Linked DNA regions of Zea mays. The protein of the gene in region 4 binds, or shares a complex with, the protein of the main gene of each other region. Links are inferred from orthologs where the notes say so. Each region holds a gene or a part of one and is shown on either strand. Other genes may lie near its edges. The genes, in order: 50S ribosomal protein L5; 50S ribosomal protein L15, chloroplastic-like precursor; 50S ribosomal protein 6, chloroplastic-like; 50S ribosomal protein L3, chloroplastic-like; 50S ribosomal protein L27, chloroplastic; 50S ribosomal protein L9; 50S ribosomal protein L1, chloroplastic-like.

The links.
Region 1: 50S ribosomal protein L3, chloroplastic-like (region 4) and 50S ribosomal protein L5 share a complex: the UniProt entries of both Arabidopsis thaliana proteins name them as parts of the 50S ribosomal subunit. The link is inferred for Zea mays from reciprocal best matches to the Arabidopsis thaliana genes AT2G43030 and AT4G01310.
Region 2: 50S ribosomal protein L3, chloroplastic-like (region 4) and 50S ribosomal protein L15, chloroplastic-like precursor share a complex: the UniProt entries of both Arabidopsis thaliana proteins name them as parts of the 50S ribosomal subunit. The link is inferred for Zea mays from reciprocal best matches to the Arabidopsis thaliana genes AT2G43030 and RPL15.
Region 3: 50S ribosomal protein L3, chloroplastic-like (region 4) and 50S ribosomal protein 6, chloroplastic-like share a complex: the UniProt entries of both Arabidopsis thaliana proteins name them as parts of the 50S ribosomal subunit. The link is inferred for Zea mays from reciprocal best matches to the Arabidopsis thaliana genes AT2G43030 and PSRP6.
Region 5: 50S ribosomal protein L3, chloroplastic-like (region 4) and 50S ribosomal protein L27, chloroplastic share a complex: the UniProt entries of both Arabidopsis thaliana proteins name them as parts of the 50S ribosomal subunit. The link is inferred for Zea mays from reciprocal best matches to the Arabidopsis thaliana genes AT2G43030 and RPL27.
Region 6: 50S ribosomal protein L3, chloroplastic-like (region 4) and 50S ribosomal protein L9 share a complex: the UniProt entries of both Arabidopsis thaliana proteins name them as parts of the 50S ribosomal subunit. The link is inferred for Zea mays from reciprocal best matches to the Arabidopsis thaliana genes AT2G43030 and RPL9.
Region 7: 50S ribosomal protein L3, chloroplastic-like (region 4) and 50S ribosomal protein L1, chloroplastic-like share a complex: the UniProt entries of both Arabidopsis thaliana proteins name them as parts of the 50S ribosomal subunit. The link is inferred for Zea mays from reciprocal best matches to the Arabidopsis thaliana genes AT2G43030 and EMB3126.

Annotation. Positions count from the first base shown.
Region 1 is NC_050096.1:5,387,174-5,390,571, forward strand, and holds 50S ribosomal protein L5, read right to left. Parts: upstream 2,028-3,398; 5' UTR 1,925-2,027; coding exon 1,619-1,924; intron 1,489-1,618; coding exon 1,288-1,488; intron 1,132-1,287; coding exon 787-1,131; 3' UTR 501-786; downstream 1-500. Other genes in the region: glycoside hydrolase, family 28 precursor, read left to right, coding at 1-429. UniProt on the Arabidopsis thaliana protein: Binds 5S rRNA, forms part of the central protuberance of the 50S subunit.
Region 2 is NC_050096.1:27,447,139-27,450,737, reverse strand, and holds 50S ribosomal protein L15, chloroplastic-like precursor, read right to left. Parts: upstream 2,240-3,599; 5' UTR 2,239-2,239; coding exon 1,809-2,238; intron 1,548-1,808; coding exon 1,396-1,547; intron 808-1,395; coding exon 586-807; 3' UTR 501-585; downstream 1-500.
Region 3 is NC_050099.1:216,898,364-216,900,720, forward strand, and holds 50S ribosomal protein 6, chloroplastic-like, read right to left. Parts: upstream 1,073-2,357; 5' UTR 1,001-1,072; coding exon 635-1,000; 3' UTR 501-634; downstream 1-500.
Region 4 is NC_050100.1:79,035,706-79,038,763, reverse strand, and holds 50S ribosomal protein L3, chloroplastic-like, read left to right. Parts: upstream 1-1,179; 5' UTR 1,180-1,323; coding exon 1,324-1,822; intron 1,823-2,075; coding exon 2,076-2,365; 3' UTR 2,366-2,558; downstream 2,559-3,058. UniProt on the Arabidopsis thaliana protein: One of the primary rRNA binding proteins, it binds directly near the 3'-end of the 23S rRNA, where it nucleates assembly of the 50S subunit.
Region 5 is NC_050103.1:167,360,501-167,364,140, reverse strand, and holds 50S ribosomal protein L27, chloroplastic, read left to right. Parts: upstream 1-1,427; 5' UTR 1,428-1,489; coding exon 1,490-1,783; intron 1,784-2,624; coding exon 2,625-2,726; intron 2,727-2,835; coding exon 2,836-3,012; 3' UTR 3,013-3,140; downstream 3,141-3,640.
Region 6 is NC_050100.1:222,785,531-222,789,611, forward strand, and holds 50S ribosomal protein L9, read right to left. Parts: upstream 2,801-4,081; 5' UTR 2,729-2,800; coding exon 2,585-2,728; intron 2,059-2,584; coding exon 1,931-2,058; intron 1,618-1,930; coding exon 1,572-1,617; intron 1,326-1,571; coding exon 1,228-1,325; intron 1,048-1,227; coding exon 1,000-1,047; intron 907-999; coding exon 786-906; 3' UTR 729-785; intron 643-728; 3' UTR 418-642; downstream 1-417. Other genes in the region: methyltransferase WBSCR22, read left to right, coding at 1-26; Chaperone protein dnaJ A7A, chloroplastic, read right to left, coding at 3,451-3,496. UniProt on the Arabidopsis thaliana protein: Binds to the 23S rRNA.
Region 7 is NC_050101.1:154,265,039-154,269,266, reverse strand, and holds the start of 50S ribosomal protein L1, chloroplastic-like, read right to left. Parts: upstream 2,801-4,228; 5' UTR 2,746-2,800; coding exon 2,419-2,745; intron 2,319-2,418; coding exon 2,139-2,318; intron 2,052-2,138; coding exon 1,997-2,051; intron 1,438-1,996; coding exon 1,310-1,437; intron 964-1,309; coding exon 880-963; intron 1-879. UniProt on the Arabidopsis thaliana protein: This protein binds directly to 23S ribosomal RNA.

The DNA.
Region 1 (3,398 bases), on a different chromosome or scaffold from region 4:
TCCGGCGCCGGGAGGGGCGGCTTCGTCAGGGACATCTTCGTGCGCGGCCTCAGCCTCCACACCATGAAGTGGGTGTTCTGGATGACCGGCAACTACGGGCAGCACCCCGACAACACGTCCGACCCCAACGCCATGCCCGAGGTCACCGGCATCAACTACAGCGACGTGTTCGCCGAGAACGTGACCATGGCCGGCAGGATGGAGGGCATCCCTAAGGACCCCTACACCGGGATCTGCATATCCAACGTGACCGCCCGCCTCGCGCCGGACGCCAAGGAGCTGCAGTGGAACTGCACCAACGTCAAGGGGGTCACCTCCCACGTCTCGCCCAAGCCGTGCCCGGAGCTCGCCGCGGAGGGCAAGCCGTGCGCCTTCCCGGAGGAAGAGCTCGTCATCGGCCCACCCGAGCTGCCGAAGTGTAGCTATTGAGGCCGATTGCCAAAAGAGATCATTGATCATATAGGCTCTTCGGTGATAGTCTAGACAAGCAGTATGAGAAATGCAGCTGAAATACGTTTGCATTACAGTGTCCGTCTCACATTACTGCTTCCTCCGATTACAATGTCTGGCAGTGGTATAACTTGTGACTACAAATTATGCATCAAGAAGAAATCAGCAAAACGGACATGATCATTGCAAACCTTTTTCATAGGTGCACAAGTTACATAATTGACAGACAACAACAGCATCGAATTTGTAAGCCAAATTCTGCAAAAAGATCGGAATTAAAACAAGCTGAACAGAGCGTGTGCAACCATGGGCTGGCTGGCTGGCTGGTTCCTCTCCTCACCGTCGTCCTCCCTTCCCCTTGCCCTTGCTCAGGAAGTGGTGGCGCTTCAACCTCTTCTTCCGGATCACCACGTCGGTCTTGATGTTCTCCGAGAATGGCATGCCGAGGAGGACCAGCAGCCTGAACGCCTCGTTGTCCGTCTTGGCGCTGGTGACGATGGACACGTCCATGCCGTTCTTCTTCCCGCCCACCTCGTACGGGATCTCCGGGAACACGCCCTGGTCACGGAGGCCAAGGCTGTAGTTGCCGTGCCCGTCGAAGCTGTTGGGGTTGACACCCAGGAAGTCCATGGTCCTAGGGAGCCCAAGGTTGATGAGCCTATCCAGGAAGTTGTACATTATCTACAGCCAAGGACAAAAAAAAGAAAAAGAAATGAGCCCTGTACCAGTGAAACGAGCTCACAATTTCCACTTGTATTGCAGATTATACTAAGCTGCCATATTCCAAACTGCCACGAAATACACTCCGAGGCCAAATGAGCAATGGATGAGGCTCACCCTGCCGCGGAGGGTGACTGCGATACCGATGGTGTTTCCCTCACGGATCTTGAAGCTGGCCACGGACTTCCTGGCCTTGGTCTTGACGGGCCACTGCCCGGTGATCATGGCCAGGTCCTTCATGGCGGCATCCAGCCCCTTCGAGTTCCCTGCCTCCGCGCCCAGACCGCAGTTCACCACAATCTTCTCGAGCTTGGGAACCTAGCCGTTCGAACCAACCGCACGACTCATCAAAAGTCAAAATCCTACCACGCCAGCAAATTAGCCTAGCTACAAGGAGGAACGGCGGGCCTTTCCGCGGCGAGGAGGAGCAGGGTCGACGGTCGAGCACCTGGTGGACATTGGTGTAGCCGAACTCCTCGGTGATGAGCGGGACGACCTTCTGGTCGTAGACGGCCTTGAGCCGGTGCACCTTCTGGGCTTCGGATGGGTCGACGAGCACGATGCCGGAGGGCGATGTCGGCGGCTGCGTGGGCTTGGGCGGCGCCTCGGTAGCGGCGGAGGCCACGACGCGGAGAGCTCGGCGGGGAGCCGCGGAGGGCAGGAGCAGGCAGCGGCGGGCGGATGAGGAAGAGGCGGTTGTGGCGACGGCGAAGGGCGTGCCCGAGGAGGGCAGGGTCACAGCCGCGGCTGCCATCGGAGCGGGGCGTGCGGAGGCGGGCGCGGCTTATGCCATGGATGAGGAAGACGGTTGCTGGATAAGGCGTCGGCTGTGCCGCTGGCAGTGGCCAATCCAGTGGTTCTGGGCTAGGCCTTCGTGTGCTCTGGACTTGGACCCATTGAGGATACAGAGATGGCTAAAGCCCATCAAGCCCAAGCCAAGATTGTTTAGTGGATCAATAAGATTAACATCATAATACAGCCTTGTTTTGCTAACAACGAACCTAATATCGTGAATACGTGATTAACAACAGTCATTGAGCTGGTCATGCGTGTAAAAAACAACTTAAAAAACAAGTGTGATCAGTTTAATATTTGATATGTGGGACATGTGCCCATGATGACGTTACATATATATTTTTTAGTGAGAGGTAACCATATATTAAACTGATTACACATGTTCAAGCTAAAGTGCATGACAAAAATAGTTCAATTAGAATCCATAATGGTAGCTTGCTATCAAGATTGTCATGCACTATTGCTTGGTCATGACACACCACATATAAATCAAATAAAATATTGAAAGATTGATATACAAATCAAAATAAAATGTTGAAAACTGAATATTCAAGCTTGAATATAGTAGATTTGTCGTATGTGGTTCGTCGTCTACGTCTCGCTTGGTTGGGCTAGGTCGCTTGACGCTTGGGCCTCGTTGGGCCGCAGGGCAGCTGTGCAGCTCGTTTGGCTCGTTAAGAACCAAACTAAAATGTTGGCTGAGCTCGTGACTCATTTCAAACGAGCCAAGATGTATCAAGCCACTAATGAGAGCGAGTTATGGATCCACAAGTTTCTCGTCCAGACCTAGTGGCAAAGTCTGTGCAATATGATTAGTAGGGTGTAGAGTGGTTTCTAGACTTGCGGGTATCGTACTTTAGACTTTAATAGGACCTCACTCGTGAAGTAGACTAGTTTGTGTACTTTGTATACATGGCCTTACTCTTCTCTTTCAACCATGATTGATGTCTTTAGTGTGTTGGTTGTGTTGGCCCAAAAATGAGATGCAATATTCCAAACTATCGTGACAGGGGTTGTGGACACCCTATGCTCCATGTGACAACACAATTGGATGCCATGGAGCCTAAGGCTGTTGTGTGGGGGATAGATATCCCCCGGGTCCACTAAAGGAGTAAAAGACCTCACGAAAGGCCCAAGGGCCCAATAAATCGTAAGGTCATTCTTTTGTGGGCCTGGGGAGAAACAACCAACAAAGCAGAGCGACGTGATACCGGATTGGTGCAAACCCGAATGGCCCACAACGTCGAGCGAGTAAATCGCAACAGAGACCCGACTTTCCCGCGCTGAAGCCCCCATGCAGCGGAGCCATGCGAAGATAAGTCGGCGAGGGTTACGTAGGGATAAACTCAAGAGGTTCACTACCTTTTAGCTACTTGTTGTTATCATATCCACGTGTACTGCCCCACGGTCGAGTATATAAGGCCTAGGGGCAC
Region 2 (3,599 bases), on a different chromosome or scaffold from region 4:
ATAGAGGTCGATGCTTGTGTTGTGTCATTGTTTCGGGAGATGAAATAGAATGTACAAGGGAAATGTATTACTTGCAGAGCATCTCATTTCACCAATCAAAGGTTGTGTAGAATTGTGCATAATCTGGTTTAAAATAGATGGTCGTACTATTAAGATAGTCAACATTGTTTCCATATCTGTCATCTAGAGCCACTTGAGTGATCTAACTTTGCATATGTTGCTAGGATCAAGTGGTGGATAAAGTTTGAGATAAAAAACCTTTGAAAATGCTAACTAAGTCTTAAAGGTGTTGATCATCACGTGGGAAATCATTTGGAGTTAACTTTCTTTGTAAAAAAAGGTTTTCGATATTCTCCTAACCAAGGGTTGTGTCTTTGGATTTGAATTCTGGATTAGTCCATTTTGTTCTGAATCAATTATTAAAGTGGCTATCGTAGCCCTTTAAATAAAATTTCCGAAATGTCTAATATCATCGAAGTCAGAGTTTGGATGAAGAAGTTATGAACATTTTTAGTTGAGCCGGTGTGTCTTGCTCAGTAATAAGCATATGCTAAAAGCAAGAGAAGAGTACATCGCAAAGAAATTCTATGCAGAGCCGCTATCAGATTCACCAGCACCAGCTTTTTTCTTGGCAAAGTACTCTTCTGCTCGGGCTTGGTTCTTTAGATAATTTTGTGGAAGCCATTTCTTTCGTTTAGGTAACAGAGTTAGGGAACAACCAGCTGCCTCAAGCTTCTCTTTAGCTGAAGCTGAAAACGCTCCAGCCTTGATATTCAACTTAACTGATACATCCCCATCTCCTAAGATCTACAAACAGGTGAACAACAAGTGATCATGAAGGTAAGACAAAATATGATTGCAAAAACTAACAGGTGGCACATGCCACTTCATGTTTATGTTAGCAGATATGGAAGTTTGTAGTTACTCTAGAATATATTGTAAATCCAATGAACAACCTATGGGAACATTGCCAAATTGTACAAACAAAGCTATTCAACACTTCAAGTGGTGCTCATCTAACAGAAACAACCAAAAAAACTCGATCCCGTATTGCATGTTCTAATAGATGACTCTAACTCAAGTGGATAAACTTGGTACCTAACATTATCACAGGCTAATTCAGAATCGATACAACAACCTATAAGAAGTAAAAAAGTAAGAATACTGGCCACTCAATCTAACGACAAATCACTAAACACTTCGATTCTTGCTTCAAATCTGGGGTACAATAAGGTTGCCTTAAAGAGAACATGTCCTCACTGGCCAAGACCTAAGCCAAACCCTTGAATATGAAGTCATTCATATTTTCGAACGTGTCAAGTTCTATGTCACAAATACCAGTCCACAAAACAAGTTTTATTGAAACAACCAAAGGTTAATCATCAAAAGATTTACCTTCAGCGGCAGCTTCCTTTCCCTGCCTGATGGATTGATCAGACCCCGTGATTTCAGGCTTTCCAGTGATATTTCGTCACCATCTTTGAATCCGCCGCGCACTATGTCTTTTAAATTGAATGGCACATACTTCGGCAGGCCAATGTGCATCCCTGAAAAGCCATGGTGGAACTCACATCAGGCAACTTCTCAATCACTTGCATTTCTGCATTCCTTGTAACCTTGATGGGCTCTCACGAGTAACAACACAATGCATAGTTCAATTAGTTATGCGCCAGCCTGGTGTGAATTTAATCACGGATGGGCAATGCCGAAGTGGGGGTGTGAGACAAGCATCTGTCTGAACTAGAGCTTAGCGAGTTGCTTCGATTGAGTGCATTAGGGGAAGCTTCGGTTTAACTGAAGCAACTCACCGCCGGCAATGCCCCGTAGCTTGGGGAGACGGCGGTAGAGCGGCATCTGCCCTCCCTCGAACCCGCGCCGGACGCCGGGCCCCGAGCGCGATTTCTGCCCGCGCATACCGAACCCGCAGCTCGCGCCCTGGCCTGCAGCAATACCGCGTCCCTTACGCTTGGGCCGCCGGCGGGACCCCTTCTGGGGCCCCAAATTGTCGAGCCGGAACTTCTCCACTGGCGCTGCGGCGTCCGAGGCCTCGGCTGCCGCCGCGGCGCTGCTGCAGACGACGGTGACGCGACGGGGCGGGAGCGCGCGGAGCGGGAGGGCGCGGGGCGCGGCCCAGCGGCCGGCTAGGATTCCGGGACCAACGACGGAGGAGGAGGTGAAAGCCGGGATGTGGAGGAAGATGGCGGTGGGAGCGAGGGAGAGGAGGGTGATGGAAGCCATGACTGCCGTTGGAAGGGCTTGCGAATTGCGATTGTGGATAGAAGCGGATAATTGGGGTTTGGGAACGAGATAAGATGGAGACGATGGGCCTCTTCCACTCTTTATTTGGGCCTGTTTTTCAAACAGCCGTGGCCCATTCATGTCAATAATAATAATATACTCGAAAGTTGTATATAAAGAAGAAAAAATCGGTATTTTTCTGAATAGAAGATAGAACTATATCAAAACTTTGATACATTATATTCTCTAACGCTTAGACAAACATAGTTAGCAACTAAAATAATTGAGTAAGGGATAGAACCATACCTTTTTCACATCTTTTCAAAAAGATTTGCAATATGCACAAACTTAAGCAAAAAACTCTGTCCGGCAACCAAACACATCCTTAATTGCTAGAATGTGGGTAGAATAAGTTATTCAAGCAATGTTCAAAAAAGCGCGATTAAGCGCCCGCCTAATCACGATTAGACGCTAAGCGGCATGTTAGCGCTGCGCTTAGGCCCTAGGCGGTGGTTTCCGCGGTGGGCGCGTGTAGGCGGCGCGTGATTTGCGCTATGCGCGCTGAGGCGGAAAGGAGGCGTGTGGAAGCGGGGTTCGGCGCGCGGGGAAAAGGTGAGCACGGAAGCTGCTGCGCGGGAATAGAAAAAAGCTGCTGCGCGGGAATAGAAAGTGAATAGGAGGGAAAGAGGTGGGAGCTGCTGTTGCCCGGGAGAGAGTGAAACAGGCTGGGAGCTGCAGCTGCTGTTGCATGGAAGAGGAGGAAAACAGGGCCGCTGCCAGACTGGTCCTCTTCCCCAGCTGTCCAGGGCCGCCACCGTCGGTTCCTCTTCTCCTTCTGGTCAAGTCGTCCAGGCCACCGGGGTCAGCGCCTCTCTGCTCCTTTTCCCTAGCTATCCAGGCGTGCTCTCCCTCTCCCTCTGCTCTTGCTCTGCTCCTCCATCTCTTCTGTTCTATACTTTTATTCATTATTCCAGGTAAGTACCCCTAATTCCTAGCTAAAACTGTTTTTTCTGTGCAAATATATATATTATATTGTATATTCCTACAAACGCTTAAGCACGATTAATCTACGCCTAAGCTCTCTAGGCGCTAAACAGTGGCCTAACGCCCGCCTAACGCCTAGCGCTTATTGTAACCTTGTATTCAAGTACTTGATGCAGAATTTGAGGGGAGCACACATATCTTGTGTTATTTGAGACTAATGTTTTCTTTAGTGATCTTACATAATCTCAAGGTGGATAGGAGGATTGAGCAAGCTACAAGGGTGTAATTGAGACTTGTCACCTTCATGGTTCACAAAAATGGGTACCTTAGTGAGTACTTTTAATTGGTATCTTAACTGGTGCTTTGATTAGTATTTA
Region 3 (2,357 bases), on a different chromosome or scaffold from region 4:
ACCATACTCATATCCAATGGATAATTATCCGCGGTTATTTACCCATACCCGTATCCATTGCCATCCCTAGGTAGGCAGGTAGCATATGGAATTCGCACAATCATGCTCCAACAAAAGCAACATTACAAACAACTAGGTTACTTCTAAAATTTCCTATCATTTGCAGTGTTCAATGGCTGTTCCTGCCATCTAAGCTGAGTTTACTGTTTACCGAACCTTCCCCAATATCAGGCAATTGTCCAAATCAAACAGAGCCAGCTCCTAAAGTCAAACAAGAGGCAGATGTCTTCGTTGGGCTGCTTGTTTTCCCCCCCTTTTGAAGACTATATTTGCGTAATCCATATCCCATCATAACTTAACTGGCAAACTATGGAGATGGAGTAGCTAATCACTCTGCAGTCTGCACTGCCACTGACGGCATGGAATAAGCGTTGCACACAGCATGCAACCAAGAAATCATCTAGCAACGCACTAAATTGGACGCGGTGACAGCCACAATCTGGACAGCAATGAAAGATTCTTAATTTATAATCACAAAATCTGGGCAGCCATTGTTATTATATAATAAATCTCAAAGAAAAACAGCTTATGCGGAGGTTCAAGGGAACAACTTTGGCGACACGCCGCGGCGGCCTCAGTCGGTGGCCGCGGCCACGTCGAGGACGAGAGTCGCGGCGGGTGCCGGGGCCTCCGCCTCCTCCACGTCCACCGTGGCGCCGGAGGCGACGAGCGTCCAGTCCGGCGGGAGCGGCGGCAGCGGCGGGTACTGCGTGGGGCGGCGCTTGATGTCCCACGGCTGCGTCTTCTTGGGCCGCGTCTTCATGTGGTGCTTGGTCCCCTTCTTCTGCGGCCGCGACGAGCACTCCACCGCCAGCGCCGCGCGCCCGCCGCCGTGGAGCGGGGAGAAGCCGACGGAGTAATGGCGGGCGTGCCTCGCTGGCGACGGGGCCGAGGCCGGCGGCACCACCGTGCCCGCCAGGAGTGCGGTGACAGGCGACATGCTCGCTGGTGCTGCGCTTTCGAGAGAGGCGGACGGGTAGGGTAGTAGTGTGGGTTGTGTTTGGGATAAGATGGGAGGAGGACTGTTTCGGATTGGGTTTTGTGATTGCGGGATTTGCTACGCTGAGCGAAATCTGGCCCACACTATGTGCGATCATCTGACCGCTCACTCATCGAGTGTTTTTCCTTTTTTATATCTCCACTTCTTTTAAAAAAAACTTGTAATTGTTTAGTCCCCTGCCCTCTTCTTATCATAAAATGCCATGTCACCTTTTTATATTATAAAATTCCGTGGTCTAAGATGTGCCGTTGATGAAGCTTCAACAAAACAAAATGAGGCTCACGGGTACATAATATATTTCTTTTGGTACAACGATCAGTTGTCTCCCGAATTTTGTTGAAAAATGTTTCGGCACAACTAGCTTGTACTTCTAAAGCTATCTCTAACTCATCTAGAGATGTTAATGGAGAATTCTCCATCGGGTTATAGCATCCCAAACTCATTCCTATCATATTTAGTCCATCCTCATACCCATTATGGGTGCAAAATTCATCTCATACTCATCCTCATTCGGGTTTTGGGTCCCCAATGGGTCCCCATCTCCAATTAACGCATGTTCAGGCACACCAATCCAGAAGGCGATTGGAGGGTATTAAATCCCCTCCTAGTCAATGGGAACCTCAAATCCCCATTGGGATTGGAGGGGATTGAGGTAGAAATAAACTAATTTTCTCTTCAATCCCCTTCAATCTTGAAGGGATTTGAGTTTCCAAACTAACCCTTAGTGCTACTTTGGGAACCTCAAATCCCCTTCAGGGTTGGAGGGGATTGGGGTGGAAATGAACTAATTTCCTCTCCAATCCCCTTCAATCCCGAAGAGGATGTGAGTTTCCAAACTAGCCAATAAGGGCTGATTTGGTGACCAGAGATTACGGCGGGATTTGAGAGAATTGAGGGGGAAATTAGTTCATTTCCCCTTCAATCCCCTCCAATCCTCCCGTGATCACCTTGTCACCAAATCAACCGAGTTGATTTGGTGACAAGGTGATCACGGGAGGATTGGAGGGGATTGAGGGGGAAATAAACTAATTTTCCCCTCAATCCCCTTCAATCCTCCCGGGATCCCGGGTCACCAAATCAGCCCTAAGAGGGGATTTAAACCCCTCCAATCCCCTTCTGGATTCGTGTAACCGAACAAGCCCTTAAGGGATAACTAGGTACTAACATGTAACACAAACTATCTAGATTTCAGACATCACCACATCGGCAAGTACTCATTAATGAACCATCATCCATTCATCCATCCATCAGAAAAGAAATAAGTACTTCAGGACCGATAGAAGAAATAGAGAAATGG
Region 4 (3,058 bases):
GAACCATCCGCACTACACCAAGACACCACCAACGATGTACCGACACCCATGGAGGAAGATGACCTACAAGGGGAAGACCTGGTCGACTACGAAGCTACGCCAGAACACTTGGAAAATTAGAAAAAGTAAGGTGACGGATTGGTCAGGATCGCTATGACGCTCGACGGTGTTGGGACTGACAGTTCGATCAAAGCTAAAAGAGTCACGTCCGTTGAGTCAACCATCGGGACTAAGGCCACTACGTATCATCCTAGCAAGTGTCAAGATGCCTAAGAAAACTGATGTGATCACATCGAGTTAGTTGCTTTTGGTTCGCTCAGCTCCACCAAAAGGCAGGGGGGCATATGTTTGACACCAAAATGAGCCGGCGGACTGTCTGGCCCTGAGGCCGGACGGTCCGCGGTCCGGACGGTCCGCGCCTGTGGGCCGGACGGTCCGCGTGTGCACAGAGCAGATTAGGGTTCCGAGTTTTGTGCTACGATTGTTAGCTAAAATCATGGGATAAGCTCGGGAATTAGTTTGTAAAGGGTCCAGCCCCCTCCTCTATAAATAGAGAGGTATACGGCCGATTTGTAATCATCAATCGAATCAATACAACTTCTATTTCGCATTTTATCCTAGGAGTAGTTCTAGTCTAGTTTAGGTTTAGCCTCTCGATCCCCAAATTCTTCGCCTCTCTTCGACTCTACGCCGATTAGAGGAGTCTAGGTCGGCCGGCCCGAGCCTAGACAACCCCTAGGATCTCTCCTCCCCGACGGGGTCCCTCCCGGGAGCGAGATCCAGGCGCCGCCGGCGATCTTCCGCCGCCCCTGCGCACGCGCGGACCGTCCGGCCCTAGGGCGCGGACCGTCCGGCCGTCAGGCAGGAAACCCTAGCCCCTGCGCCAGGTCGCGGACCGTCCGGCCCCAGGCCGCGGACCGTCCGCGCCTGACCAGAGAGCACCGCCGCCGGTTCTTCTTGAGTATTTGGCGCTCCGAAAAAGCGTCAACAGCTCTGTTCCAACTTACCAAACACAGAACAGAGCGGCTCTGTTCCTAGAATCAGGGATGGAATGGCTCCGTTCTACTTGGCTCCTCAACCAAACACTAAGTACGTGACAATAGGAGAATGGATGGAGGTCTTGCCATGCAAATTTCTAAGCAACTGTATATACGCTTTCTTTGTAGAAAGGCGTATCTATTTGAGTCGCTTCCGAGCAGACGTCCTCCTTGGATAAGGGGATAGGCGCGAGGAAGAGCGGCCTATCCGCATCCGCATAAATCCCAGTCAAATTGAACGAGAGCGCCACTCCCCTCTGCTAATCCCAGTCAAATCGAAGCAAGCATGGCCATGGCGGCCGTGGGCGTGGGCGGCGCAGTGGCGTTCCTCCTCCCGCAGCGCCGCCAGGGCGCCGTCCCCTGGAGCGGCGGGCGGCGGCGGGCGCCCGTGGCGGTGCGCGCGTCGTACGAGGCCGGGGTGGGCGTGATGGCGACCAAGGTGGGGATGATGACCTACTTCGATCCGGAGACGGGGAAGCCGGTGCCGGTGACCGTGGTCGGGTTCCGGGAGGGCGGCAACGTGGTGACGCAGGTGAAGACGGCCGCCACGGACGGGTACGACGCCGTCCAGGTCGGGTACCACGGCGTGCGCGAGGACAAGCTCACCCGCCCGGAGCTGGGCCACCTGGGCAAGGCCGGCGCCCCGCCGCTGCGCCACCTGCAGGAGTTCCGGCTCACCGCCGTCGACGCCTTCGAGCCCGGCCAGCCCCTCGACTTCGCCGACCTCTTCAAGGAGGGCGACCTCATCGACGTCTCCGGCAACTCCATCGGCAAGGGGTTCCAAGGTAGTACACCGATTCTCGCGCCTCCATCCAATAGTGCGATTGCATTGCCAGCAACAGCAATTCTGCTAATGATCTGCCAGCCTCGGTTGTATGTGTCATTGTTCCGTTTCATGGAGAGTGAAGTTTTAGCAGCATTTGCTGTAGCTGTAGTTTCAAAGGTTTGCATTTGCGATTGCTATGCCACTTGTGCAATCTCCTAGCTTGCAACGTTCTTGATCCGCTCGCGCGCGGTTTTACTTGTGGCACTGCGCAGGTGGCATCAAGAGGCACAACTTCAAGCGCGGGCTGATGACGCACGGTTCCAAGAGCCACCGGCAGCTGGGTTCCATCGGAGCCGGGACGACGCCGGGCCGCGTGTACAAGGGGAAGAAGATGCCCGGGAGGATGGGAGGAACCAAGACCAAGATCAGGAAGCTCAAGATCGTCAAGATCGACAACAACCTCCGGGTGCTCATGATCAAGGGGGCCGTGCCAGGGAAGCCCGGGAACCTCCTCCGCATAACGCCGGCCAAGATCGTCGGCAAGAACATCCCCAAGAACTAGACTTCTTTTTTCAGGGGGGTGAATGTTGAGTGTTTGTGTTTGTTACCCTGCTACAAACTGGATGTAATCCTTTGCCAATTTCCAGTTTTTGAACACATGCAACTTCAGATTAGTAAAACTATAACCTGTACAATTTGGATGCTTGGGTGAGAGAGTAATAGGCAGGTAATGCAAGATGCACTTCTGGTTCCTGAATTCCGCTAAACAATAGTTGATTAATTCTATGGCCATAGATCATACAAATAGTTAAATACAAATGGTCGCAGATCATGCAGATATGTACTGATCTGAGTCAGGAAACGCAACCAAAACGGAACCAGGAAATGCGACAAACAAGAAAAACTGCAGACGTAACCTTGTGCAACAGGGGGGCAGAAAGGAGAACTTTGACATAATCGTAAAGCTTCCACTATAGCCAACTGAACGAATACATTTGCTACCACATCACCCTCAGAGAAGATACAAAGAAGACGGATTGTTTGGGCCACCCTTCAATACGGATTATTTGATCATAATAATAAGCCATCCATGCTTCTACTCTAAGAGCACAAAACCTAACACGGAAGAAGAAACAGTGGCCACCAAATCAGCTAGTTCCACGACCACAATTGTAGATATTTAGCTGCCCAAAATAGTCTGTACAAATGGATCACTCCTCAACCTGCACATAAAGAACATACGACCAAAGAAGTT
Region 5 (3,640 bases), on a different chromosome or scaffold from region 4:
GTTCCAGAAGAAAAAAAGGTACCAAAACCTGTCACTCATGGGGAAGGGATCACATTCACATTCACATTCACCAATCACCATCATGGCCGGTCGGTCGCGGCGTCTCTCTCTCTCTCTCTCAATCCTTCTCTTTTTTTACAGTCACGGCTGATATGATCTTGGGTTTTATCTAACCCTCCCCATCATTCTCGTTTAGACCCAGCCTGCCTGCTTGCTTGGCCTTTTCGTGTCCTTTTCAGTTCCAAACTATTCACCGTGCAGTGGCAAAGATCGATATGGACTAACATTTTACAACCGCAAGCACGCTATAATTTGTCACAAATAAACAAGAGTGGGAAAAAGATAGAGGAAATGCGTTGTGTCGGTCGGGTCCGGCCGGGGTGGGGTGCGGGTGTGGGTGTCGCCGGCGAATCGTCAGACGAGGCAATGATCGCCGGCGGTCAATGTCATCTCTCCGTCCCCCTGCTGACGGTGCGTGCGGTGCGGTGACTGCTGCTAGTACAAGTAGTAGCAGCAGCCTGTGAGCGCCGTGCGCTGCTGCCTCTTTGAAATTTCTGGCATCCCTAGTGCCGCCGGAAATCTAACGCACACGGAGACGGAGGAGTAAACAGTGCAAACTGCAGCGAGTGAGCGGATGGAGCGTCTGGACTCTGGAGAACACGAGATTATTAGTGGGTGGTGGTGGTGGTGGTAGGGCCCTGTTTGCTTGTGTGGTCTGGTCTGGGCCATGATTAACTTGGACCCCCAAACGCTCTGCATCTCCCGCGCTTTCGTCAAGGATCCTAATCATGCCATGTGTCGGTCGTCTCCTCTTCTTCCGGCTCCAGCTTTGCCGTTGCCGCCGGTCAAGCCCATCATCATGCCTACTGCTTCTCTTGCTCTTGCTCTTGCTCCACAACAAGCCTGCCTGTCACTCTAGCTAGCTTCCCCGGCTATCTCCCCACGTGCCGACGCTAGCTAGCTGTGGCCATTCAGCGTCTCTCTGTGCAGCTCCGGAGGGAGGAACAAGATGATGCCCTTTTGGTTCACATATCATGTTTGTTTAACTCTAACTGAGCCTATTCAGACTTATTATCGTTGGTACTTGAATGTGAATCATTATCGTTACCACTTACGTTACATATCATGAACCAAACACCACCACACTGATCATTTTGTTTTCCCCCTGAATGATTCCTTCGTGAATCCTGTGTTGCCTTGCCTAAAACTACAAGGACCAAAACCGGCCAGGAGCATAACACCATTTCCCTCCCTTCCAATTCGGCCAGACACTCTGCAAGCACCACGAGGCCCATCTGCAAGTAAGGCCCAAAAACTCCAGGACCCAAAACACTGGGCCAACCACGAACGAGCCCACGTCTCCCGACTGCATCCCTTCTCCACTCCGTTATCACCAGCGCCCACACCTCTGTACCTCACCGCCTCATCTGCTCTCTTCCCCCGTCTTCTTCCCAAGCTGCCACGTTGCCTCCCTCCGCTCCAGCGGCCCATGGCCTCCATGGCGTTCGCCCTGGCGGGGGCCTTCAAGGGCCTCTCCCTGGCGCCCACCACCACCACCTCCTCCTTCCCGCGCTGCGACCGCGCCTCGCTCTCCGTCGGCGGCGCAGCGGGCGTGCCGGTGCCGGTGCCGGCGCGGCGGCTCACCATCCAGATGGCGCACAAGAAGGGGGCCGGGAGCACCAAGAACGGCCGCGACTCCAAGGGCCAGCGCCTCGGGGTCAAGATATACGGCGACCAGCTCGCCAAGCCCGGGGCCATCATCATCCGCCAGCGCGGCACCAGGGTCCTGCCCCCCTCTTGCTCCCTTCGCTTCCCTTACCTGTTACTGGTTTGCTTTGGGTTAGTAAGACAGCCTAGGCTCTTGCTTGCGTGGATTATGGTACCTCGTTGACTGGCTCTGCTGGGCGACATAGCTCTCTCTGCCTAGCGTTTGCTTGCTGCTCACCTGCTGCTGCTGCTGCTGATGCAGGTTAAGCATATTAACCACCGACCAGTACCTTCATACGGATTACGGACTGCGAATGCTAGAATCTTACGATGTACCTAGAATGCTTGCCATTGCACATGTTACGTTGGAATGTATGCTGCCATTGTGCATATCTGCATTTTCCATAGTTTACCACTCTGCAAAAGCAGGAAAGAAAAGATTGCAGTTTCTTGCATACATCAGATAACGGGAGGGGAAAGTGCACACACAAACCTCGCTGGGGAATGTAACGTACTAACCTCAATGCCCTATGGAGCCAACTGGTGGTGACTTAGGGGGGTGTTTGTTTGGGATTATAATCTGCCCAGGTTATATAATCCAACAAATTTTGAACTAAACACCCACCTTACTCTGCACACATGGTCAGACATAGCTGTTCAATATTAGGCATACTGTAAGATGGTCGGTCAATCCTTGTAAAAGATATTTCATGAACTTACATGTCTTACGATTTGGTTGGTCCGTCCTACTTACCAGCGCGCTTCAAATATTTAAGATGTTTATATATTATGGATACTACATGGTTTATACCATCGTGTCCCTTGTATAGAGTTCGTTTTGGTCCCCGTTTTGTGGTCTGTCTGTTCCTTGCCGTTTTTAAGTTTTTTCTTAAAATAAAATCTTTTGGACATTTCAGGTCTATCCTGGAAATAACGTTGGAATGGGCAAGGATCACACACTCTTTTCTTTGATAGATGGACTCGTCAAGTTTGAGAAGTATGGGCCGGACAAGAAAAAGGTTAGCTGTATCTTAGTTACTACATACTGAAATCTGCTTTTACTTGCATCTGACTGAGATCTGGTTGCACACCAGATATATGCTCATCTCACTACCTCTCCTTTCATAGGTTAGTGTTTACCCATATGAGAAGGAGCCTGAAAACCCAAACAGTTACAGAGCAAGGAAGAGAGAGTACTTCCGCATGCGGCGTGAACGGAAGAAGGCGAGAGCGGAGGGCGCCGCTGAGCCTCAGTTGGTACTAGCTGCTGTTGATGAAAACTCTGAGGTCAGCGCGGACTGCTGATAAGTTTCCTGTGTGGTGTTTCTCTTTTTCACAGCCCTTGTTACACTTTTTCTTCCTTAATTGTAAGACCACATGATCTATAAAGGTCATATTTACATGTGTTGTTTAGATAAATGGATATGTTCTACTTGTACTTTTTGTGGGGTAGTTGTGCTTTAGAGTCACAGTGGGGGTCTATTCCAACTTCCTAGACCACTCCACGTAGGGCGTGTTTGGTTCGGCTTTTTTCTGAATAGCTTTTCTGAAAAGCTGGTGGTTAGAATTTAGGTGTTTGGTTCGCCAGCTGTGCGGAAAAGCTGTTCGTTAGAATCTAGGTGTTTGGATACACAGATTCTCAGATTGCAGATTCTGTTTGAAGAAACTATACACATTAACACCGAACCAACAAAAGGTCATTACATATAATTAGTGGAGTTCATTACAACATAACTACTGTTACATTTACATATTTAACTACGGCACTAATGCATTAGCAATTGCATCTCGAAATGCACTCATGTCTAACTCATCAGATGTGATACTACTACTCTCACCTACAGATACATCATGACCAAGGCTATTAGGTCCTAGTTCATCAAAGTCTCTATCGTGTAGAGCACTGTCTCTAATGAAGTTATGCAATGTCATA
Region 6 (4,081 bases), about 140 Mb from region 4:
GGCGTAAGCGGAAAGGCTATTTCTAGCTCTGTGCAATGCCCCCTTGCCTGCAATGCTGGCTGTTCAGTTATGATGCTAGTTCATTTAGCAGAAGCAGAAGGATTTTTGTAAAGGGTGAAGCGAGGAGTTGTACTGGTATTCGGGAGTCATTGCATTTTTAGACAACGATGTGAAACTGTCATTTTTGTAGAACGTGGATGTTGAGATGAATACAGTTGGTTTGCGTGAATCTGTATCAGATCGCTGGTGACGCCCAGACTTTGGCTAAAAGAAACGCAGTTCATGTGTCAAGTACGTTGGTGTTCCAATCTGAATAACGCTCTATGGAGCCCCATACTTAGCAAATTTCTTGCCTTTTTTTTGTAGTGGATGCAGACGTAGAGGTGGGGAAGGTTAGAGGACAAGAAAGAAGGGTCGTTTTTGGCGAAGTAGTGCTCTACAGTTCAAACAAATTGTTCTTTACAACAATTTATATTTTCCGCCTCAAAATCAACAGATATAATTGTTGAAAACTTGACTTCACACGGTAGGGAATAGGATGCGCAGTGAGCCAGTGAATTGTGTATCAAAACCAGGCAAGTCACGGCCAGACCAGGCCTCATGTCTACCGCAGCACCTGGCACTTGCAGCAAAATCTCTGCACTAAACAAAAGCAACTGTGTAAGAGCAAGACCAGCGGAATTCTAAGAGCCAAATCTCAAGGAAAGAACAACGGCAAATGAGCTCGCCTGGCAAACATCAGGCTTCTCCAAAGTCCATTACTCGAGGTTCTGTAACTGCTGAGCTCATTTCGCATAGACATTCAGCCTTACTCGCGCTGTCACGTCTGGGTGAAGCTTGATCTCTGCAACATACTCTCCGATTTCACGGATTTCTGGAACCGTCACCAGCTTCTTGTCGACATCCCTACAAGACACAGCGTGCCAGCAGTAAGAGAAGCAATATAATGATGAGAAACGCTATTAAGATTGCCTAGGAGTTAGGAGCATATGCACTTGCCTATTAAGTTGTGACTTTATTATGTCAACAACATCCTGTGCCGTGACACTGTACAATAAAAGATATCGTCAGAAAAGTGAAAGTAAGACTATACCCAGCAGATAGTGACACTATAGATTGCAGTGTGTACAAAGTAGAGTTTGAAATGAGAGATGGAGATGGGTAAGCTGTAAGAGATAGCCTGAGACAAGAGAGAATAAATAATGGATTGTCCAACTTAGAACTTGCCTCCCAAAGATCTGTTTTCCTTTTCCACCTTTGCGAGGGAGTTTGAAAGCGCCAATGGTTTCAAAAACTCGAGCAAGTTGTTGCGCGTCTTCTTTTACCTATGTAAATAGAGGACTTCTTAAGGCCATAATTATAAACAAAAACTGATAAAAATGCATTGATAGAATTTCATGAACATATCATGCTTAGGACTTAAATTACGGAGGACATAAAGGCACTATATTTTCTTTTCATAAGGAAAGTAAGGATAAACTGCAATTGAAGTTTACTCTCCAGACAAAGAAAAAGGTCGCTGAGGTTAAATTGCAACTACATTTATTACTGAGTAAAATATTTTTTCCTACCCGCTTCTTCTCAGCTTCTATTCTCTCCTGCTCCAGCTGCATTTCCCTGCGAAGAGAAGTAGAGGCAATAAATTCATTCGCAATCTTACTTACCCATCGAATCAAACAGTATGTGTGTCGACCATTGCAATTCTATTAGAAAGGTGCATGGATTGGATTCATATCTCAATCTAGTTTTGCTAGGTGCCTAGGTCCCAAACCTCAGAGTCAAACTAAGCATACCACAGAGAAGGTCATACGGTTGCCAGCAGCCACTGAATCATTTGACAGAGTGTGGACTTTGCAATTACTTGAGGATTAAATGACATAACTAACAAAGCAAAGCAAGTGAGGGATAACCGAGAGCTGGTAGCAATTACTTGAGGACTTCTGGGGTCAGAAGTGTAGCCTTGCCCTTGGGAAGGAGGAAGTTGCGGTAGAATCCAGCTCGCACCTTCAGTGTATCCCCTTTCTTCCCCACCTCTTCTATGTCGTCTGTCAATATGACCTATGGGAAAGAATTGTTTTTTTTATGGAGAAAGGTAAAATCACATGTAATGCTAAGGGTGGCGGTAATAGCTACACAAGATAAGCACCACATTGTCAATTTAACTGGATGCACCGTTGTTGCATTCTTGTACAATCAGGCAAACACAGCAAAAGGAACGACTTATGAACTGAACTCCAACTAGTGAGGCAAGGCTCCCATCAAAGGTATTTCATCCCTAGTATCTAAATCCCCTGCCTAAAAGCCTGGTTAGTAGTAGTAGTAGTACAACTCTTGGAGCATCTAAATTGTGCGAGCCACTATATCTTACCTGTTGCCAGTGAGACAGCTAAGCTAGCTAACTTCATTTGTATCTATTGATCACAATATACAAACGTACCGACGGCGGTGCATCAATTTTTTTAGAGAAGAAAACTAAAACGCGGCAGGTTATGATGCCCTCAGCAACCCGCGTGCATTAACTGATTGCTAAGATGAAATCAGCACAGAACTCGAACATAAGAACACGCGGAAAGCCCGGGCCGACCTGGCGGTACTTCTTGACCTTCCCCTGGGCGACGATGACCAGCGACGGAGCCCGGCGAGAGGCCGTGAGGCAGCGCCCCGCCGAGGGCCGCGGGTAGGAGGCGGGGGTCCAGGGCAGCGTGGAGGCGCACGACAGCGACGCCATTGCTCTCGCGCTTCGCTACTCAAGCAAGTGGCGCTTCGGTCGCCTCCTCCGCTCGCACCGCTTTCCTTTCTTATCCATCCACTGACTTCGCGAGAGGCCTAAATAATGGTTTGGGCCCGGAAATGAGAAAGCGGCGGCGGCGGCCCAATCGATCTGGAATGGATAATGTCACGGCTCCGTAGAGCCCGTTTCACAGCTTCTCTCGCCTGTCGCGCTGCGTCCATGGCGGGAGCCTGCGCGGTCGCCGTGCCCGGATCCAGCCGCGTGAACTGCCGGCGTGATAGCCCTTTCTCGAAACTGAGAATTCGATATCACCGAAACGTATTTCTAATAAATAGTTCCATCGCATCTTGTAAGTTGGATAAGTTTGCAATTCGATATCGGTGAATTTGATTAATCCAAAACCTCAAGTACAGTGTTTGTCTAGTCCCGGGGTTTGGGATCAGCATCCCACAGCTTCAGACTTCTACGCCGCTTGCCAGACTGAAAAGGACTCCAACTACATAAAAATAATTGCTTGGCAAGAATGACAAGGGACCAACGCCGCGACGATATTAGTTGACAACTTTCACTCCCTCGGTTGCCACTCAGCCTGAAAATCTTGCAGCTCTCCAATAAAACGAATATACGAGCTCGTGGGGACCCCCAATGAATCTAAGAACTTTGATTGGACTACAGCACCATGTAAGACAATCTTCTATCCTGCAGTAAATATTTACAGCCTACAGGTTGTCGTTCAGCCACTTCGCAGCGCCATTAACAATGGACCTGAAAGAATTCAACATCTAGGTCAGAATACAAGAGATAACCCAATCACAAAAATGTCTGATGAACTAAATCAATCAACATTTTTTCCTCTCGAACTCAGCCAACCTTTTATTTTTCTCGAACACAACTAACACAGTTAGGATGGCTCAAATTTCAACAGAGGTTATGCATCTGCATTCAAATCTCCCATTACTACAGTGTAATTTCCCCTTTTAAAGAATACTCGGAAATGTAATGCAGTGACCAAAAATATAGTTCATTACTACAAGATTAAGTTGGGTTGGTTCAGATTTCAATAAAAGAGGCATCTGCATTCAACTTCCCATTACTATTTACTACACTAGACCGGACGGGGCGCTCCGCTGCGCCAGTTTCGAAGTGCGTGAAAGAACAGGTAAAGTGATAAGTCGTTCAACAGCGATCGGTGAACAGTAATATTCAGAGATACATCAGCCAACACGCGTGAAGCCACGGCCGCAGGCTGGATAATTTAAAATGCAGGCGTGAAGAGAAAGGCGTTCAGATTTTAAGAAACTTAATTTGTAATTTTCCCTTTTAATAAAGGAGTACGTGAAAATGTAACGG
Region 7 (4,228 bases), on a different chromosome or scaffold from region 4:
CCCTAACCTACCGCACGATTCTCATTTAGATCCCCAAACTATGAAATTGCATATCTAGGTCCCTAAACTATTTAAGTATCCCATCCCGGTGCAAAACAGTCACATCACAGTTCATTAGCTAACATTGCACTCTAGCGTGGAACCGACATGCATGTCCATAACTCATAATTACAAGGATGATACCTAAACTATCATTGGATTCTTACAAAAGTCTCAAACTATAAAATTTGGATTAGGATTGTAGTACTTTAATAGGTTAGGGACCTAGATGAGTAGTTTTATAGTTTGGGACCTAGCTGAGAATCCTATGATAGTTTAGACAGCCCTTGTAACTATGAACTATGGACCCATATGTCAGCTTCACGCTGGAGTGCCACGTCAGTTGATGGACTGTGATGTGGTTATTTTGGATCAAGATATGATACTTATATAGTTTAGGGACCTAGATATGCAATTTCATAGCTTGGGACCCAAATGAGAATTACATAATAGTTTAGGGACCGCCAGTGTAGTTTACTCATATTATTACCACTGATAACGCTTCATATCTTCCAACATGTGTCTCATCTAGTTTCCTCGGCGATCAGTAAAACCAACTATTTCAACTTCCTGAACTCTTGCTATGCACAATTAAATTACAAACATGTGTTCAATAAAAACACCATGCCTGAACCTTGAATTATCGGAGTACAGGAAAGTAAATGCAACTGATAAAGGTAGGAAGTTACTTGTACATGAATCCTAGAAGTCAGTAAATACTACAAGGGCATGAAGTTTTAAATCTTGTCACAGTGCCCAGACTAAGCAATGAAGACAAACGATTTAGAATATCGATAAAAAAACTGAGGCAAACAAAATCTGTATTGACTTCCTCAATACCTGAGTAATATTTGAAGAAACAGTGCCAGCTTTGGGGTTAGGCATCAGTCCTCTTGGTCCTAGAATCTTACCTAAGCCCGCAACCTGAAAAGTAAACAGAAATAACTCAGGCTGATAATCATTTAAAGGGGAGCCCACATTGAAAGTTTCTACGAACATGTCAAATAATGCAACAAATATATACAGAACTTTGGACATTTAGTTTAGCATTAGTTATCAAAGAATGAAACATCTCACACATGTATTCTTGTATTCCGAAATTAGATTGGCATAGCCAATCTATTTTATCTATAGAAAACAAAAAAATTAACAGTTTACATGGTAAGACACTTAGGACCTATAGTAAGCACAACTAAATATTTCATTTCAAATTTTGTGGTAGTATCCAACAGTAAATTGAAATGAAGGCAGAACTGTTAATAGCTCATACCTTAGGCATCATATCAGGTGATGCAATCAATTTGTCAAACTCCATAAATCCTCCTTTTATTTGTTCAATCAAATCTTCTCCACCTACGATATCAGCTCCGGCAGCTCTAGCTTCATCTATCTTCTCACCTGTGAGGTCAGAAAATAACTATTAATGCATATAATGACCATGATTATTTCAACTACTGGTGCTACCATCTTTATGATAATGACAAGAAAAACATGACTATCTTTCACAAAGGATATGAAAGAGAAGTTTCAGTCATTCAACAAGGGTTTGCTAAGTGGACAGCACAAAAATAGCACCATCCCAACTCCCAAGTGACTTCTTGTAAAAAACAAAGAAGTAGAAACATCATGAACATAATAAACTGATTGTTAAATTCTTCTACCAAGATGCCAAAGATGAATTAACTTTGTCCAATCCAATATGTTGCATTTGAACTCTGAAAGAAGCCATGGTACTTTAAGAAGAAAAAAAATACAAAATTAACCAATCGGGTCATCAGCACACAATGTTTGCATAAAAATAAAGACAAGCGTGTTTCAGATTAAACCCATAGTCACACATGAGGCAAGGCAATAGTGTCAAACAGAACAATCACACATATGACCCACTAGCACAGTGAATTCAGTTTGTACTAACTATCGCTCAACAGGATTTCGTTGTGTTTCAATCACCGCCCACCTTGTGTGAGAACCGCAATCTTCACCGACTGGCCTGTTCCCTTGGGCAAATTCACCTGTGGTCACCACGACCAGCACAAATTAACGAACGCAACAGGGCACAAGCAACCAAAAAGAGAAGGCCAGAAAAGAAGAAACAATACCGTGGCCCGGAGCTGCTGGTCATTGTACTTGGGGTCGAGATTCATGCGGAAGTGCGCCTCCGCTGACTCAACAAACTTGGCACTGGACATCTGCTTCATCAACGAGATGGCGGTGGGCACGTCGTAGTCCTTCTTGCTCTCCCTCAGCTTCTGTATCTCGAGGAACCTCTTCGACCTCGTCTGCGCACCATCAAAACTAGCACAGCATCACCGGCCGTACACAAGCAAGCAAGCCACAGGAACCATATACGGAGGGTGGGGTATTCGGCGATATGCGTACGCGGTCGCGCTTAAGCAGTAGCGCGGCCTTGCCGGTGCGCGGGCGCGTGGGGGCCGTGAACGCGGGGCCGCGCCCGCCCTCATACCCGTCGTCGTCGTCGTACTGGCCCTGCTGGTCGACCTCCGCCTCCTCTTCGAGCACGGCCCCCTGCGGGTCGGCGATGGCGGCCGCGGCGGGGCGGCGGAACGCGAGGAGGAGCCGCGGGTACGCACGCAGCGACGGCACGGAGGAGGGGAACAGCAGCGCGTTTGACGAGGCCGGCGCCGTGCTGCTGGCCGCCGGCGCGAGGAGGGAGGAGGAGGCGGTGGCCGCGGCGGCTGTGGCCATGGTGGAGGCCGGGGAGGATGGCGCAGCAGATAAGAGGGAGTGGAGGGATAGAAAGAGAAGCCGAAGTGGCAGCGCGGGTTGGTTATAGCCGAAAGATCTCGGCCTGGGTGTTCATCGGATAGGGCTGGTCGTGGGCGGGCTCGCGGTCGCAGCCTCGCAGGGGCAGGGATGACGGGCGCCGCGCCTGGAAAACTCCTCCCCCCTGATTCCAGTGATTTTGGCTCAACCGAGACGCCCGGTCACCTGCCTGATCTTGGTTGGGAGTTGGGACGAGCGGGTGTACGAGTGTGCGATCGTGTCGTGTCCGCGCGGGCGACGGGTAAGGAGAAACACGGCGAGTTGGCTGGGCCGAGACGCGCGCAGGTGTTCGGAGCTCCTGATTTGGCTCAGCCCCGAGGACCGAGAGCCATGCGGATGCGCGCGAGGCAGCCGGACAGGTGTGTGGTCGCGGTTCGCGTGTGGGTTCGAGCGGCAGCGACGAGGGACGCATGTGTGGCTGTGGCTGCCAGCCTGCGACTGCGAACTGTTTGTGTGTGGCCCTTGACTCTACTCTATATCTATACTACTATATTATTTAGATTATCCACCAAACAAATTCAGATAGCTGGATAACTCTATCACCCTTACTCAAATTCAATGATGAACAATATTATCTAGATCATCTATCATTTGTCATGTCACCCTTCCCTTTCCCACAATCTGTCGCCTCCAACCTCTCCCTCCCTCGCGTCCCCGTCGCCCTCTCCCCTTCACTCGTGCCTCCACCGTCAATTCCTCCTATAGTTCTGAGGCCTATGTTGTAATACATTGGTAGTGTGACCATAACATGTGGTTTTCTCACTTTGTAATCAGACTTTAGGTTGTTTCAATGGCACACCACTCCACATACATACAATGAACTTTAGAAAGTGCAGGAGCTCCAACTTTTTCCCCTGCTGCCACCATGTAGAGGGAGAGAGAGAAAATTATCTCATATATCACTACACTTTTAATATAGAATTTTCTTTGTGCGTCGCCATGTGTCTCTCACGCGTGAGTAGGGGTGGTAATGGGCTATAAACTTTATACTGCAAATTTTAAGGATCGAATCGGATTAGGGTCGGGCTCTATTCTTATTCATTTTTGAACTAATATTATTTAAGGGCCTTAACTTTTGTGAAGAGGCATTTGGATCGTGATCCATTACCACCTCTACGCGTGAGCGCCCGTGTCCGTCCAACGCGGCAGGGCTCCTACCACTATGGCACACATCCATTTGTGGTACATAAAGGAGAGATTATATATATCTATACACTATAATTTAAAAAAAAAATATAATCATGTTTGAATATATATATATATAATTTAAGGAAATGCAACATATATGATATACAAAAACTGTAGCAATATTGAGAGCACCTAGAAAGGGGTGAATAGGTGATCCTGTAAAATTCAACACTAATAGCCACAAAACTTAGTTGTTAAAGTTAGAACGGCTAAGTAG